Mytilus edulis: one gene and its partner. The protein of the gene in region 2 interacts with the protein of the main gene of each other region in a pairwise test. Links are inferred from orthologs where the notes say so. Each region holds a gene or a part of one and is shown on either strand. Other genes may lie near its edges.

Evidence for each region. The genes of interacting proteins can lie anywhere in the genome.
Region 1: the proteins of EF-hand domain-containing family member C2-like (region 2) and enhancer of mRNA-decapping protein 3-like interact in binary tests that used the Homo sapiens proteins (3 or more experiments, as listed by UniProt). The link is inferred for Mytilus edulis from reciprocal best matches to the Homo sapiens genes EFHC2 and EDC3.

What each region holds. Positions count from the first base shown.
Region 1 is NC_092347.1:25,326,961-25,335,399, reverse strand, and holds the start of enhancer of mRNA-decapping protein 3-like, read left to right. Parts: upstream 1-5,182; 5' UTR 5,183-5,283; coding exon 5,284-5,430; intron 5,431-6,435; coding exon 6,436-6,605; intron 6,606-8,439. UniProt on the Homo sapiens protein: Binds single-stranded RNA. Involved in the process of mRNA degradation and in the positive regulation of mRNA decapping. May play a role in spermiogenesis and oogenesis.
Region 2 is NC_092346.1:46,850,828-46,859,022, reverse strand, and holds the start of EF-hand domain-containing family member C2-like, read left to right. Parts: upstream 1-4,954; 5' UTR 4,955-5,256; coding exon 5,257-5,298; intron 5,299-6,944; coding exon 6,945-7,284; intron 7,285-7,500; coding exon 7,501-7,724; intron 7,725-8,138; coding exon 8,139-8,195. UniProt on the Homo sapiens protein: Microtubule inner protein (MIP) part of the dynein-decorated doublet microtubules (DMTs) in cilia axoneme, which is required for motile cilia beating.

The DNA of each region.
Region 1 (8,439 bases), on a different chromosome or scaffold from region 2:
TCTATAAGCTAGTCCCATAATATAATTAAGTTACTCTCAAACCCACACTTGCAATGAAGGGAGTATCATATTGATGGTGTCTGTCCGTCTGTGCTTCCGTCTATCAACATTATTAACTCTTTCTTCAAACCAGTAAATGAAATGTCAGTCTTAAATGGTGTTTTGTATATACTTTTTTCAATTTTATGTGTCTATTATTGAGAGTGAGGTTAGACTAAAGGATTAGAGAGGAGCACGGAGGGGTGTAACACATTCAAGCTGTGCTTATAATGCATCTGGTTATCCATCATATTATTATGCTTTAAACAGAAGATTACTTTCATAGGGATTTCTTTTTCAACAAACAAAATGTAATAAAAACCATAAAACAAATATAATATATCTGAATTTTACTAATACTAATTCTGGCAAGGGTACATGTAGAAGTCAAGTACAGTCATTAATTTACTTGAGTTGTTACCTAGTTAATTTTCTGACTGACAAGCATTCAACAAATATTTTACTATTCAAATAAGTCATAGGGCTAGTGAAAAAATATCTAAAATCTTATCTACCCATAAAAAGGATTTTAATTTTAAATTACTTATCAGTAGTATTTCTTTGTATTAAAGTATTGGCCGTATAATTCATCAGGGGTGGAGAGACACACATACTATAAAACCTCATACTGGAAAAGTTAATGCTCCCCTACTATCTTTATAGAAAGGGCATCAAAATAATGTTGTTTCATGAATTAAAAATCAAAAGGAGCCTCTTGGTATTGTTTTGTTTTAAAATATAAATACCGTTGCTTCTGTCATTTCAAAGATTAACAATCATTAGACTGTAGACGGTAAGTGATTGATTATTTGACAGCATGGAAGTCTTTGGAATTTTTGCTAATCAGATCTTAATGCTTGTTATTTTCCTTCATACAATCTCAGGTGCTAAGTCTCATTTTTCTTTATTGATTTATCTACGTTTAGAAGACAGATTAAATCATTTATATTCTTGACTGCTGATAAAATCCTTTGTATATATGAAATACATTTATGTTAAAATTCCATTTCTACTGAGAGTAAAGCATTTAATTAAAAGGTTTATCAAGGTATCAGTGACAAGTTTGTTTGCTTGATTCCTGTCATACATATGTATCTTAGGATAGGGGGAGATAACCTCTGGACTGAAAACCTCTACCATACATATGTATCTTAGGTGGTGTGGAGGGGAATAACATCTACCTTGATACAGAATTAACTAGGGGGAGATAACCTCTAGGCATATAACCTCTATCATACATATGTATCTTAGGTAGCATGGAGGGGAATACCATCTACTATGACACAGAATCAACTAGGGGAGATAACCTCTGGACTGAAAACCTCTATCATACATATGAATCTTAGTTGGCATGGAGGGGAATAACATCTACTATGATACAGGATCAACTAGGGGGAGATAACCTCTGGACAGATGGTCCGAGTACACAGTTATTTCGTAGTGCATTTCTTTTAGACAATAAATGAAAATTAAAAAAATCCCACCTGCTCTTTCTCAATAATATTTTCACAGTGTGTTGTACTACTTTTGGGGCAAATTATATCAAAATTATAGAAAACTTCATCAGCTCTAACTCAAAATATGGACAATTTTATGTTAAGGGGGTCTTGAAATCTTTTGACAGCTTCTGAAGAGCTAATTTTTGACCTTTTTCAGCTGGACCTAATCACTACTTTACATTAATATTTTATGACCCAAATTTTTTTACAGTGTCATTTCACCCCCCAACTTGCTATATGAGGCATAAAACATGGAGAAATAAATTTGGAAGGGGTATAACAAAAATTGGCAAGTAACACACTGTCCACACTAAGGACTATATTCGTGGACAACGAAAATCAAAGGACGATAACTGTGTACTCGGACCAGATAACCTCTATCATACATATGTTTCTTAGGTGGCATGGTTTTGAATGATATACAATCACTGTCTATTGATGAGGTAAATAGTAGTTTAGCGACTTTTGAAAAACTGATATTCACTGAGGCCAATGGCCGAAGTGAATATCTTTTTTATTTTTAAATCAATTAAACCACATATTTACTCAAACAAAGGACAATAATTGTTTTATTTCATCTTCAGAGAGAAATTTATGTAATAGCAATTATTTACCAAAAACCAATTATACATCAAATGTTTTTTACCAAAGTTATGCACGTCAAAGCTTGTGACGTTTTGCGCGGTGAATTTCCTTTTTCAGCAGGTGAATAAGCTCATTTATTCAAAATCCCATTCTTAAAGAAAAACCTACTAAAATTCTATCAATAAGGAATAACATCTACTATGATCCAGAATCAACTAAGGGGAGATAACCTCCAGACAGATGAACTTGATCATACATAAGTATCTTAGGTGGCATGGAAGGATTAGATGAAGGGGAATAACATCTACCATGATACATAATCAACTAGGGGGAGATAACCTCTGAGAGGATAATCTCTATTGACATTTTGTCAGAGAATACATTTCCTTCATTTTTTATGTCCACAAATAAAGCAATATTTGTAACTGTTCAGTGTTTTTCAAGATGTTATCAAGATTTTAAATTTATTTCCTACCAGTAGAGTAAATAGGTAAAAAATTGACAAATATTTTAAAGGGTTACATTCCACATTCTACCAGTCTGTAGCTAAGAAAAAGGCCACCATTTTAAAAGTCAGATTTTTATTCTTCATACTGATGTTTACTTTCTGGCCCATGCCTGGTATATGTTTTCAAAATTATTATCTATTAAGAATTTAACATAAAGGGTATATTTACAAAATTATATAGTTTTCTATAATAAATATTTTGATACTAGTATGTCATATATTTCTATTATCAAATTTCCATCTTTCTTTGTTTCAAGATTATTTATTTTTACTTAAATTTTCTATATATATTTTTTTATTATTTTTTTTTCAATAGTATTGCTATAAATCATGCAGGCTGTTATTTTTCTATTTTGAATTGTTCTATCTTTATCATGCTATGCCTTTTATAGCCGACTATTCAGTATGGGTTTTTCTCATAGTTGAAGGTTGTATGGTTAACTATTATTGCTTACATCCACTTTATTTGGAACTCTGTTGGAGGATTGTAGTCTGATTGGCAGTTAAAACACATGTCCTTTATTTTTATATTGAAGAATGAATTGCAGGTCAAGGTGACTATTTGGTGGATAATGTTCTACTACACAAGCGTACTGTTATGGTTGAACAGTAATCAGAGAAATAGACTTTCAAAATTACATGCAACCAACTTCTGGACAGACACACCCTTGCCCTGTTAAAAATATTCAAGGAATAGTATTAGAAATTATTAAGAACTGTTTGCTCAGTCCACCTTAAAGAAGTTTGTTAATTGGTATTGATAGTTATATCAAAAATATTTGTTTAAAATTTGTTTTATAAAATTCTTTTTGGAACATCACATAATAAATTCATTATACAGTATTTGTGTTATAACTGATAGATTCATTGAAGAACCAAGTTTCACACATTTAGAAGTTATGTTACATTTGAAATTCAAGCGAACGATTGTCCTTTGGTATTTTTATCATTTAGAATATTCTAGTACCTGAAAGCTGTAGTTTGAACATTCTTTGTCTCCCTTTAAACTGTTTCCAGTTTCTTTTACTTTTGTTTTCATATAAGTTAAACCCTGTCATTATTTCCTGAAATAGAAACAAATTGTTGAACTAATTAAAGTAATACTAAAACTAAAATACTCTGTTGTTTGGTTTTCATGCTCCAAATTTTTATTTTTTATTTTTAATTTCTTCAAATTTTGGTGTTAATTATCTTGATCAGGCCACCCGACCCTTAACAGTTGTTGTATGTCACATCTTGTATTATGCTTTATGTAATGTGGAAAAGTAGGTATAAATTGCAGATCTTTTTGATTGTTACTGCATAATTTTCTGCATAATTTTTCACATTTTTTTTCAGCTTTAGTACAAGTTGAAATTGATTGTTTATCCTACATGGACAAAACTAGGCAGATTGTATAGACACTTGTCTATTGTTAAGAGTCTATGTGGTCCTCTATATGTCTCTTGTTAATTTTGTTGTTAGTTTGATGTCTCAACATATCTTTGTATTCATATTGAATGGAGAAGGCTTTGTGTGCGACATAAGTTATGTGTACTGTAATTCACAGTATCATATGTTCATATTAATCACAACATGTTATGATTATTTCATAGACATCTGACATAGAAGTAGTTGTTAGTTTGATGTTAGTGTTAACCTTCCTGGGTATTGTTCATATAAACAAAGTGTAACCCATTTAATTTAGTGATCATTAATGATAACATTTAATTTGCAAATCTGAGGACCCTGATTTTTTCAGGAAAAACTTCACAAATCTTTTAATACAGGTAACAGTGGCTGATCAAAAGGGGGGGGGGGGCATCCGCCACTGTGTAATACAATTAATAAATATTAATTTTACTTGAAATGTCTGAAAATGGGTTTCATTTAACTTGAGGTATATTGTCTCGGGAACATTTACCTCTCTTTTATAACAGGGTCGTAATTACATCTAGGCAAATGCCTCATGTACAATGTAGGAAATTTCAAAAACAAAAACTTGTCTTCAGACTTCACATCAAATTGCTTTCACTGTGAGTGACTTGCAAGATGCAGCCCCCTTTTTAGGGATTCATGTATCTCATTTTTTATTTAGTTTTCAGTGTTATTTGACAAAAACACATGAAATGAAAATTGCAAAAACAATTTGCACGTAAATATAAAGAAAAAAAGTACTAAAAGTACATGCATTCATTATTAATGGACATGAACACCCTATAGTCACCTTTTAGCACCCGCTAGAGGCATCTGAATATATATATAAAAAAATATAGTAATTTGATGGACTTAATTACATTATTATATAACATTTTATGTCATTTACAAGTATGCAAGTAACTTAACTTCTTTAGCAACATAAACTATAAAGATGACACTAAAACATGAAGTATACTATAGTGTTTAAAAAAAAATTGATATCTGAATATTTCTTGTGAAAAAGAGATAACGAAGATTTTAGAAAAAGGTCGTCACCAGAGGTCCTATCCTACAATGATACAGGACAAAATACAACAGACGACCTGACATCTGTCAGCATACTTAAGTCGCTTGTATCACTCAAGGTCGTTTAAAACAAATATTTTCATGATAGTTACAACCATTTTTTTTCTTATAACCTTTTCGAATTTGACTGTTAACTATTTTTATTATTAAGATGGTACTGATTTTTTAATGATATTTGTTGTACTTCAAAAAAAAAAAACAATATCCTTCGTTTTCAATGTTGTATGCGGTTTTGGAAGACATGTTGAAAAACAGTGGAAAGTTGTGAAATATTCTTTGAAAAACAACGTAAATAGTGAAGAGGCGACACTAAAGGTAAGATAAACACACTTGATAGCAAAAAGGACATCATATGTAACTATTGTGGAAATATAATTTAGCTTTTCAAATACAAAATTAAAAGGTAAAGTTCGCAACTGACTGTGACCTAGTTTCGTTTGTTTGGGTCCTTTGTTTACAAATTTCTACAGCTGATTTGATTTGTGGTCATCATCGTAAATAGCAAGATAATGATATTTTTTGTGTTTTCTTATTACATGTTAATCAATAGAAATACTTTGAGATTGATTGTACAGAATCAATATGTTCTAATATCACAGAAAAGTTGTGTTCCTGTTACAGAACCGTTACAATATGTGTTATTGTTACTGTTATTATACACTAAAGACGTTAACCAAGGCCAAACATTTATTTTATGTCGAATTTTTACAAAAATATGTTTTATTTATGTACTTAATTTATGTAATTAAGTTTCAGTGTATTAAAAGAACTGACAAATATGGTTGTCTTCACACCTCAAAAATTTACTTTGTACAATTGTAGACAAACCTCTCCTGTGCTTTTCATCTCCTGTGCATCTGAAAAGCACAGAAAGAAAAATACATAATTTGAGCAAAATGCTCCTAGGAGAAAATCTGCACTTGGCGTTTGAGTATAGTCAAATCCCCATCATGAGTTAGACATCCTTGTTGGTTAACAATGCTTGCATTTTGTCTTAAATTCTTTGAGCCTTGAAAAATTAACATCTACAAAAAATTTAATGTATCATGTCTATGTACACTTGTGATTTCTACAAAGTAAACTGCATGTAATGAGTAATTTGCTTGATCCAGAGCTCTGTTATTTGTGTACTACCAGGTAATACAAGTTTTCCTGTCACTGCAACAATTCAGCATTTCAGGATGATAATATGTCAAGAACAGTTGGATGTTAATAACATGCTCTATACAAGACTCACTTCTGATACTGAATGAAAACAATAGAAAGTCACAATATTCATTATAATCACCATGATCCATTTTGCATTTTATTTTTTCACAGGTTAAAATGTGTACTGGTTTTGTTGGAAGTATAGTGTCTTTGGACTGTGGTGAGACCCTGGGTACTTACCAAGGTCTGGTGTCTAAGATTGATGAATCAACACAGATGGTTTCAATCACTCAGGCCTACAGAAATGGTGTAAAGTGTGATGTACAAGGCATTACAATCAGGTAAGAATATATAAAATAGAAATACTGGAGGCAAAATTAACCAGGTTTTCAATTTTGTCATTAATCATGATATTATTTAATGTTTTAACTCATCTGCATTGTAATGTTTTAACAAATTAACATGCTTAATCTGAATCATGAAATTTTGCAAATTCAAAAAAGATTTACAAATAAACATATTTGACAGAACTGTGTTGAAATTTGAAGCTTATATGACTTTTTATTAAAGTGTTTAAAGAAAATATTCTAAAAGAAAGTACATTTATCATGTTTATAAGGCAAATTGATGAACAATACTTTATTTTAAGAGGGTTACACAGTTACATGTAGCTATATAACTAATCTTCCCTGAGGCCCTCATCATGAGAAATCAAACAAAATGCAAAAACATATACAATGCATACAGTAGTATAAAAAGTCAAGTATGATAATAATCTTCAATACAACTTGATAAAATGTGATGAAAAAATAAACATGATGACAGTTTTCAATATTATTGATACAGCTAGATTGATTTCAATAAATGATCTGTTATTTTGTATTTGAAAGAAATATTTCTTAACGTAATTGGCAAATTATTCCACAAGAATGGTCCAGAATACATAACAGATTTTTTGAACAATTCTGTTTTTGGTTTAATAGGGAGTATGAGGTTTCCTTGAAAGCATTTCTCAAGGGGTATGGATTTCTGTCTGAAACATGATATCCTTCACACTAGAAGAAACTTTGATGGTAGGTTATCAGTGGAAAAGAGTGCAAAACCTGACAAAATGTTGCCTCTTTCTGAGATTTTTTCATATTTAAGGCCACGGTTTTTTAATTTGTTGGTTTACAGATTTTTCTCATAAAAAAGTCGGGTCGGTCGGTCGGAAAGAAAAAGAAAAAAAAATATCTTTCAAAACAGAAAAATATGCAAAATAAATATATATTTCACCTTACTTAACAAAATGTTTGTCTTTTTGCTGTTTTGTAATCATTTCTTAACATTTCGTTCTATGAAATATTATTGATCAGTGATCATGAACATCGCAGGACATCGTGTAATAACTTCCTGTAAAAAAGAGGGGTTGCACGGACAAAGACGAAATTAAATCGTCATTTCACAAACAAGAAAAACAGATTCCCGTAGCTCTCAATCAATTCCAGAAAACTTGGTAAATAATGATCTTCAGTTACAAAAACTGATAAAGAAAAAAAAATGTAAAAACGTCGTACAAAAATAAGTTTCAACACACGTGTCGAAAAACGTAATAGACTCGTCCACTGGAAAAACGACAATATCGGGTTAATCAGTTGTCATGCAATCCGGTTTTTATCCCAATGATTGATAATATGAAACAAGAAAATTTCAAATGATTTGTTAATATTCAGTACTTTAATTGATGTTATTCCACCTGTCAACATTTGGACAAGTCTATTTCTCTGAGATGATGCATCTTACGGACTGATGACAAATAAGGGAAAGGAACTTATTTTTGTAATAGGTTTTCAACACAGGTTTCGTTCCGCAAAATTATTTGCGCAAAAGACATTTCAAGGTCAGTTATAATTGATTTGTCTATTTTTAGAAACGTAAATTGGAAGTTTTATTTTTCACAACAGAAAGTGTTATCAACTTTGTTAATGATTTAAAATGCATTTTATTTTATAAAAAAAGAAATTTTAATTATTTTTCAGGGATACTGCATTGATAAGGGTCGGCGGGAATAAAAAAGCATGAAAAGTCAATTTTATTTTTATTCTGAAAATCGGCAAAATCGGGTCGGCGGATCCGTAAACCAACAAATAAAAAAACCGTGGCCTAACTTACTTTACATTAAAATACTGCTCAATT
Region 2 (8,195 bases):
TAGGTGTCGTGCAACGAGTGAACACTCAACTTTAATTTTTGATGTACATGTATATACGTTGATTTTTTTTCTGCATTCAATTTGCCAGTACACACATGTTTGAGGTGTAGGTCAGAGCACCTGACCCTGGAGACGGGATTGCGCACTTGAGAATTTTGGTCGATTATATCGTTTTATCTCTAGTTGTTCCTGGCCGGCCTTGACCGTCTATGAAGGGGTGCATTTAGTCGGAAGTTTGGTTTTGGTGTATTTAGGATAATATGTACATTTGAATTGTATGATGTTTGAATATGCATTGTAATGGTATTAATGATGATATTAATATTTGTAAATATTTATAATACAATCTGGCGTCCATCGAGCATGACGGGCTGTCGGCAAACTAAGATTATGTTTGTGTTGTTTATATTTGCCACGAGTATGTAGTTATTACAGCAGTATTATACATGTACCGTTATTAAAACAGTTGCGAATATTAGACCTCCGCCACTGATTATCGTTAAATATCGAAATATACGTTTTGATCGGGGACAATATCGTTCATGATTTTTCTATATGGGTCATTTTCAAAAAATGTCGAATTTTCAGTACACCCATGCTAATTTTTTCATTTCTAATGGAAATTTCAGTTGTAATGGTTTAAATGAAAGCTTGTCGGATTTGTGATTCAGAACATTAATAATAAACACACCTTACATCTATTTTGATAAGATTAAACTGCATTTAAGACCAATTTTGGGGGTATTTGTCTGCGTACATTGTCAGAAAAACACATTTGAAATGATTTTTTTGCGATTTTCTGATCGCCTTGATATCTGCAAAAGGGACTTTTTAAGATCGTTAAATATTACTCTAACGAAAAATCGTAGCTTCTTTATCATTGTATGTAACATATTATCTACAAATTAAATTGAATCAGCGTACAGGAGGTTCATGTCTTTCCTGTTACCGCTACTTAAACCAGCCGTTAAATTATTCTCCCTATGAATATTGAATCAGTCAGTGTTGATCTCAAAAGTGCAAAGTAATCTTTACATTTAAAACGCCTCGTTTCTTGAACGAAATTGTAGAGAAAAGAAATTTCAAGACATTAAGTGAAAAAAATAGAGCGTACTTTTTTTCATGTCTATGCTGTTACCACCAATTTTGATTAATTACACCAACAGTATACTTGTAAAAAGTGCAATAACGTGCTGGAAACCAAATTCACAATGGAAAAACATAAATCACTTCACCAAAGGGAGTAATTATTTCACAACAGCAAACAAAAACAAAGAAATTTGTCTATCCTGTTACTATGGTTGCTATGGTTACAGTAACAGGATAGACAATTGTAGACAAAAACGTCGTTAATTTTTTTATCTTAATATATAGGTGCAAAACGAATGAAATATTTCGTTGTTTGAACTCATCTTAAGGTTATAACGTCTTAATATTCCCAATTAAGCATTCGCAAGTGCAATACTGTTATCGGTAACAGGATAGACAAAAAGGTAACAGGATAGACTTTTGTAAAGTGATATATCAGAAACGTACGTTCCTGTTACCATCGAAATAAAGAGAAAAGTAAACTAACTTATGAGGGATTAACTTGATGTTGGGTTTATTTGAAAGGGTGAAAAAATGCCGAACAATATAAATTGCTATCTTAAAATTGAGAATGGAAATGGGGAATGCGTCAAAGAGACAACAACCCGACCAAATAAAAAACAACAGCAGAGGGTCACCAACAGGTCTTCAATGTAGCGAGAAATTCCCGCACCTGGAGGCGTCCTTCAGCTGGCCCCTAAACAAATATATACTAGTCCAGTGATAATGAACGCCATACTAATTTCCAAATTGTACACAAGAAACTAAAATTAAAATAATACAAGACTAACAAAGGCCAGAGGCTCCTGACTTGGGACAGGCGCAAAAATGCGGCGGGGTTAAACATGTTTGTGAGAACTCAACCCTCCCCCTATACCTCTAACCAATGTAGAAAAGTAAACGCATATCTTAGACTTGCATTACTGGTGGTAATTTTTATTACCTTTGAAAACCATTTTTTAGAGGCATTTTTCAGTACAACCTGGAAAATTGGCAAATAATCTATTATATTACAGAATGAATATATATAGAAGTATTCTCTTTAAAACCATCTAATTGACTACGTAAAACAAGCTTAACATTTTATCTAAACCTTTTCTTAATAACCCAAAATTTCTTTTGAAAATGGTAACAGGATAGACAAAATAATGTACCACCGATCAAAAAATGTTTCAACATATTCTTTTATGACATCATTAAGATTGCATCTTTTAATATGTTGTTCTTAAAGTACTGTTTGTTTTGATTTGCTTATGTAGAGGGTTGCTTGAATAAGTAACTTTTAATAATTTTTTCAATTTCAAAATTCGACATTTTTTGAAAATGACCCATATACTATTGTTTATATTTACTTACTTACCTATATAAAATTTTGAAATCTATAATGTAAAACAGTGACTATACAACACTAGCTATACACACTTTAGATGAAGCATCGTTCATATCCCCATCTAAACAAGCAATGGTTTTTTTTTTATTCAGGAAAACAATTGTTGTTATAAAATTATTTTATTCTCCCGGGCGCTTTTTTCCCTTCCCCGGCGCTATTTTTCTTCCCCGGGCGCTTTTTTTTTGTTCCCTGGCGCTTTTTCGTCACCCGGGCGCTCACAGGCGCTTTTTAGTAGGACCGAAAAAACCGTGGTGATCGCAGCTCTGCAAGTGGCTACCGACGTGTTAAGTCTAATTCGGTGGGTCACATTCAAATGAGGTTGATAAATATCTTAAGCAAGAAAATAATATTCAATGATTTTATTCATCAGAAGTATAATAGTAGAATCACCAGTTTTGCCTCTCTTACATTATCAGATTATCTCAACTGTTTCAGCAAAGAAACGACAACACAAAATTCGCAAATTCTGAAGAGATTCGAAGACTCGTTATAGTAGGGTTATGTCCTTTCAAAGTTAACCGATGTCAATTGCTTTAAAAAATGTAGGATTGTCGATGTAGCAATCCTCCTATCTCCTATTTTACTGGATCTTACTGGTATAATACCTTTTTACGATCTTTTAAATTTCTATTAAACTTGTTAAATTCAGGTTCACCATGAATAATGTGAAGCCTCTTCAAACGAATTAACTAGTACAATTTTGAATGGTGTCATTGTTGTAAGGGTCGTTGAAAAATTGGACCAATCATATCTCGTCATTCATTTAAAAGTCAATCATTTGTAGAGGCTGCAGATTATTAATGCATAGAAAATTTACCTCTGATTTTTTTTATCAATTGATATTTTCGATGTACATGTTGCAGCGATCAACTGTGCTTTTTTTTATCCCCTTTATCCCATACTGCCTGAACAGAAAATTCAACATCATGGCTCAGAGAGAAAAAAGGCAAATCTACTTTTAAGAAAGAAAAATTACTTCACACATACAAAAACGCGTTATTACTTTAAAGAAAGAAAAAGTGTATACAGAACAACGACAAATGAACAGTATCTGCACTGTTTGTGTTGTATTTAGACTTCATGACTAAAATTTGCTGAACCATGTTGTCTCGTTGTCTTCGGCTTTCGTTATTGTCGATCTGTATTCATGGTGGTCCAACGTCAGCCTCTTCTTCGAGTACATTGAATGATATGCAATTAATTATTTCCTATCTTTAATTATTATATCGTATCGGCCAGCTACATTTTGCTAGAATTCCATTTAGACTTATTCGATGAAACAATGTTAGACTATGTGTATATATAGACAACGGTCCCTCATTTTCAATAATCTAAAGGTTTGTTCGATTGATTGAAACTGAATAAACCTCAAAAGACAAGTTTTAGTCCATAACCTCTATCGTCGTCATTTTTTGTTCTTCCAGGTTTAAAAAATTGCAGTTGTTTAATGTGTGTGAGTAATGCCGCGATTGATCCTGTCTTTGTGCTACTGACGAAGTTTATGTTTCTTTCTTAATAATTGACCGATCCGTCCTTAAACCAAGAAGATTTTGGTCAGGAGTAAACGTCTTCAAAATAATCTCGATTGCCAGTTTCTTCACTTGCTGTTCTACATATATAAAATTATGCGGCATTTTTTGTAAAAGACTGGTTATAAGGGTTGGATTGAACCACACTTTTACATTTCCTCCATGTATGTTTGTAACTTTCGATCTCAGTTTGTAAATTTATTCTGTAGTAATCCCAGTGTGAACAAGGTACCAAAGATGAATTATATTTTATTATTCTTATTTTTATTAAAGAAAGATATATGAAAAAGATATGGATCCTGTATGAATATTTTACTTTGAAATCAATTCTCTATTTATATCAAATCAAACATTAATATGTCACATTAATCAGTGCTTTATAGATATCTAATTAATGAAAAAATTTGTCCCAATTATCAGTGATTCATCGAAGACAATATACCAATTAAATTGCATAATTTACGCAAATTTCATGGTAAATTACCGGTTTTGAACTCGCAAAAATGCAATAAAACTGATGTATCTCTGTTCCTCAGTTCTATTTCTTTAGTCACTATAAATCATTCTTAAATTGAGATGAGGAAATGTGTTTCTTAATTAAAAAAAAAATGAACCCTCGTTTTATAAGACCGCGGCACCGGATCTTAATTTACCGGTAATTTTAGGGAAAAAAAGCATTGTTCAAAATTCGGAAAAACAATATAACAATAGATCAAGAAGAAAAACCTCTGCCATCCTATACAATGTTCACTTTTTTCCAACCAGAATACAAAAAACTTAATAACGACTTAAAATTATCATTTGAGTATTGGTCAAGTTAGACAGATCAACGTAGAAGCCAACGTAGAATGTAGAATTATGAAAAGATGTTAATATAATGCACTAGCTATCAGCAAAACACGATAACAGTCGACAGTAACGCAGTCGCTTTTGTTGATTTGAGTTATTCCCCCTTGTGTGTAATAATTTCCTGTCGACCACTTTACCGTTTTTATAATTTGATGCCGTTTTTATTCAAATTTCTTGTAGATTAAGAATTATCAACAACACATTAATTATTTTTTTTGTTTATGTTAAACAATTTCTCATTTTCAATAAAATCATACATATATATTACTGTTTCTATGAACGCGCATTAATTTGCCTCCTTGACAACAGATAAACTAACATCGGTCTGTGTTGGTTGCAAGTGTTGTAGTGGGGGAATAAACAGTTTACAACTTAGACTTCAGACGGTAAACTGACAACATGGCACTGCCATTTCTTCCAGGAAATTCTTTTAACAAAAATGTAAGTGACTAATATTGACTTATCGTCTAAGAAATACAATTATTGTAGATTTGAAAGGCTGCATTTCTGTACATCATCTGTTCATACATATACACATGTCATAAAACTAGTTGTTTTCTCACTTAAGTTGTTTTGATATGTTCACCTATGTGATCATTAGAAATAAACATATGCATTTGATGTGTAATCGTTTTGAACCAGAAAATTATGAGGTAGCATCGTCAAGACTGACAAGAGTCAAGACAGCAAGAGGTGTCTCAACAATTAAGATTTGGGGTGCTGAAGTTCATTGGCTGAACACCTCAACCTGCATATACAACTTTCAAATTCAAATATTTTCTGTACATTTAAGATGTCATGATGCTTATGTTAAGCTGTCATAGTAATATAAATAACATTTGTTTAAAAATTATATTTACATGTACATGTATGCTGATTATACTCAGATTCATAGATTACTGTATACATGTCGTGTACATCTACATGTATGTGCCAATAGACGACTTTCAAATTTCATTTTTTTAATGAGCTGCCCTGGACGAACAAGAGACGTTTGAGAAAAAATCTTTATCATATGACATTGTGTCGTGAAGGTGTTTGCTTTGCCAAATCTAAATTTTTTGTGAAAATGCATGTCCCATTATATATTTACTTCCAGTCCCAAGTAATAAAAAGATATACTAAACTTACCCTGAATGTAACTATTCCTAAAACCCAATTTAGAACAAAGCTAGTCCAAATAATTATAACATCTTGCAAGGCTATTTTAATATTTTTTTCTGGGACGCCTTGGTTCTAATGTCTAAACATTTTGTTTTATGTTTTATACATTTATATTTTAAACTGATTCCATTCAGGATATAAAGCATAGACAAAAGATGATGGATGTATTGGTAAGGGTAAAGTGAGACTAGATGATTAGAAAATGGAATGTTCACAAATATAAATATATATATTTCAGCAGCACTTAGCATGAAAACGCTATTTTTTAACATTAATGATTTGTGTAATAATTTCTTGATTTCTTTCAGATCAGACATAGAAAAAAATGTTAACTGCATTCTTGTTTATGATTTATTTATTAGATATACCATTTAGGATTAAAAACTTACAGAGAAGCAGCATGAACAGTGACAGCCGAATTTTTAGAGCTTTTCGCATGCAAAAACTAACAATAACAATTATATACGATGACAAATTATACATCATACATCGTACATGTATTGCATGTAACTACAAAATGTAGCTTCATAATACATAATTTCATTATTATATTTCAAACATGATAAAATGATTTTTTTTCTAATTTTAAACTTTTTTCTAATAAACAAAACCCATAAGTATGTCATCATTTATAAAAATTGGGCATTTTAAAATGGCAAACTATATGCTTGTCATTTTCTGTAAAGTGACAAGCCATTGTAAAAAATAAAAAAAGTGTTGTAGTCTCAGCATTGACCTTTTATCTCAACGCTGATTCTTTAACTGTTGAAATTTTGTTTAGATTAATAACCTGTTATCTCATTTATGGCTGTAGGCTAAGATTCAAACATGGCTATTGCACTTTGATTCTTCCAGTTTTATCGATGACTTGCATAATTTTTCAATTAATTAAAGAGTTTGATAGAAGTTTTTGAATTTTTCAGCTTGGTAAAACAAAATACCACTTGTCCCATCACTTTGATACTAAAAATGATGTGACTATGATGGTTGGGGAGGAGAGGCCAGGAATTGGTGGTGAACTCCTTAGGGGACAAAAGGTCAAACCAAGGAGCAGTGTGTTCCCAAGAGGAAATGGTTCCAATTTACCAGCCTGGGTAGCATTTGATAGACAGGTCATGTGCTTTGATGCTTTTTTCCAAGAAGCTGTGCATGAGAAGCGTGAAGAACAATTCAGAGTCAGAAACTGTAAAATTTACTTCTACCTTGAAGATGATTCTATCCAGGTCATTGAACCAAGAACAAAGAACAGTCAAATTCCACAAGGTAAACAAAATATAAAAAAAGGCTGTTTGTTTTTATTTATTTCTTAGATAATATTTCAAGACCAGAGAAAAATCTTAAAGAGAGAAGGAGGTAAACATACAAAATAAAACATTTTCAGCTTCACATGTACAATAATTAAAAAAAAGTTCTAATTCAACAGTGTGAATTTTTAGTGCTCAAAGTTCAAACCATAATGTATGTTACTTATTTTCAAAGGAACACTCATCCGAAGACACAGGGTACCCAAACCACCACCAAATGATGATGAATTCTACACCATAGAGGACTTTAACGTAGGAAAAGAAATTAGCCTCTATTCTAAAGTATTCAAAATCACGAATTGTGATGAATTTTCAAGGAATTTCCTGAGAAAACTTGGTGTAAAAGTGAATGTTCCAGATGAAAATCCAGCAGATCCATACACAAAGTACAGAAAATCTGTAAGTTTATACCACATGAAGATATTTACTCTTTTTTATCATATTCCTTTTTATGTGTTTATATACATGTAGTTACACATCCTTGATAAAATTTCACTTTTTTAACGATACAAGTGTATGAGGAATCCTGGTTCAGGTAATTCCAGAAACCCCTTAGTACGTAACAAATTTACGGACCGTTATTTTCAATTGTTTATACTGTTTTTTGCTGTTATTTTTTTTAAGGCCCTTACATGTACTATAGCTAGGAAGACATGTGTGTTTTAAGTTATTTATGTTATATTAAACTAGATTTAAAGGGTTTCATTACTGGCTTTTTAAGGTTAACATTTTTAAGCTGTGTTTTATTATTAATCATGATCTAACAATTATAATTGACCACCTTGATAAAACAATATTTTTTTTTTATTACAGATGGATGAAAGCATGCAAGCTCTAAGACCATACGAGAAACATGACACTCTCAAACAA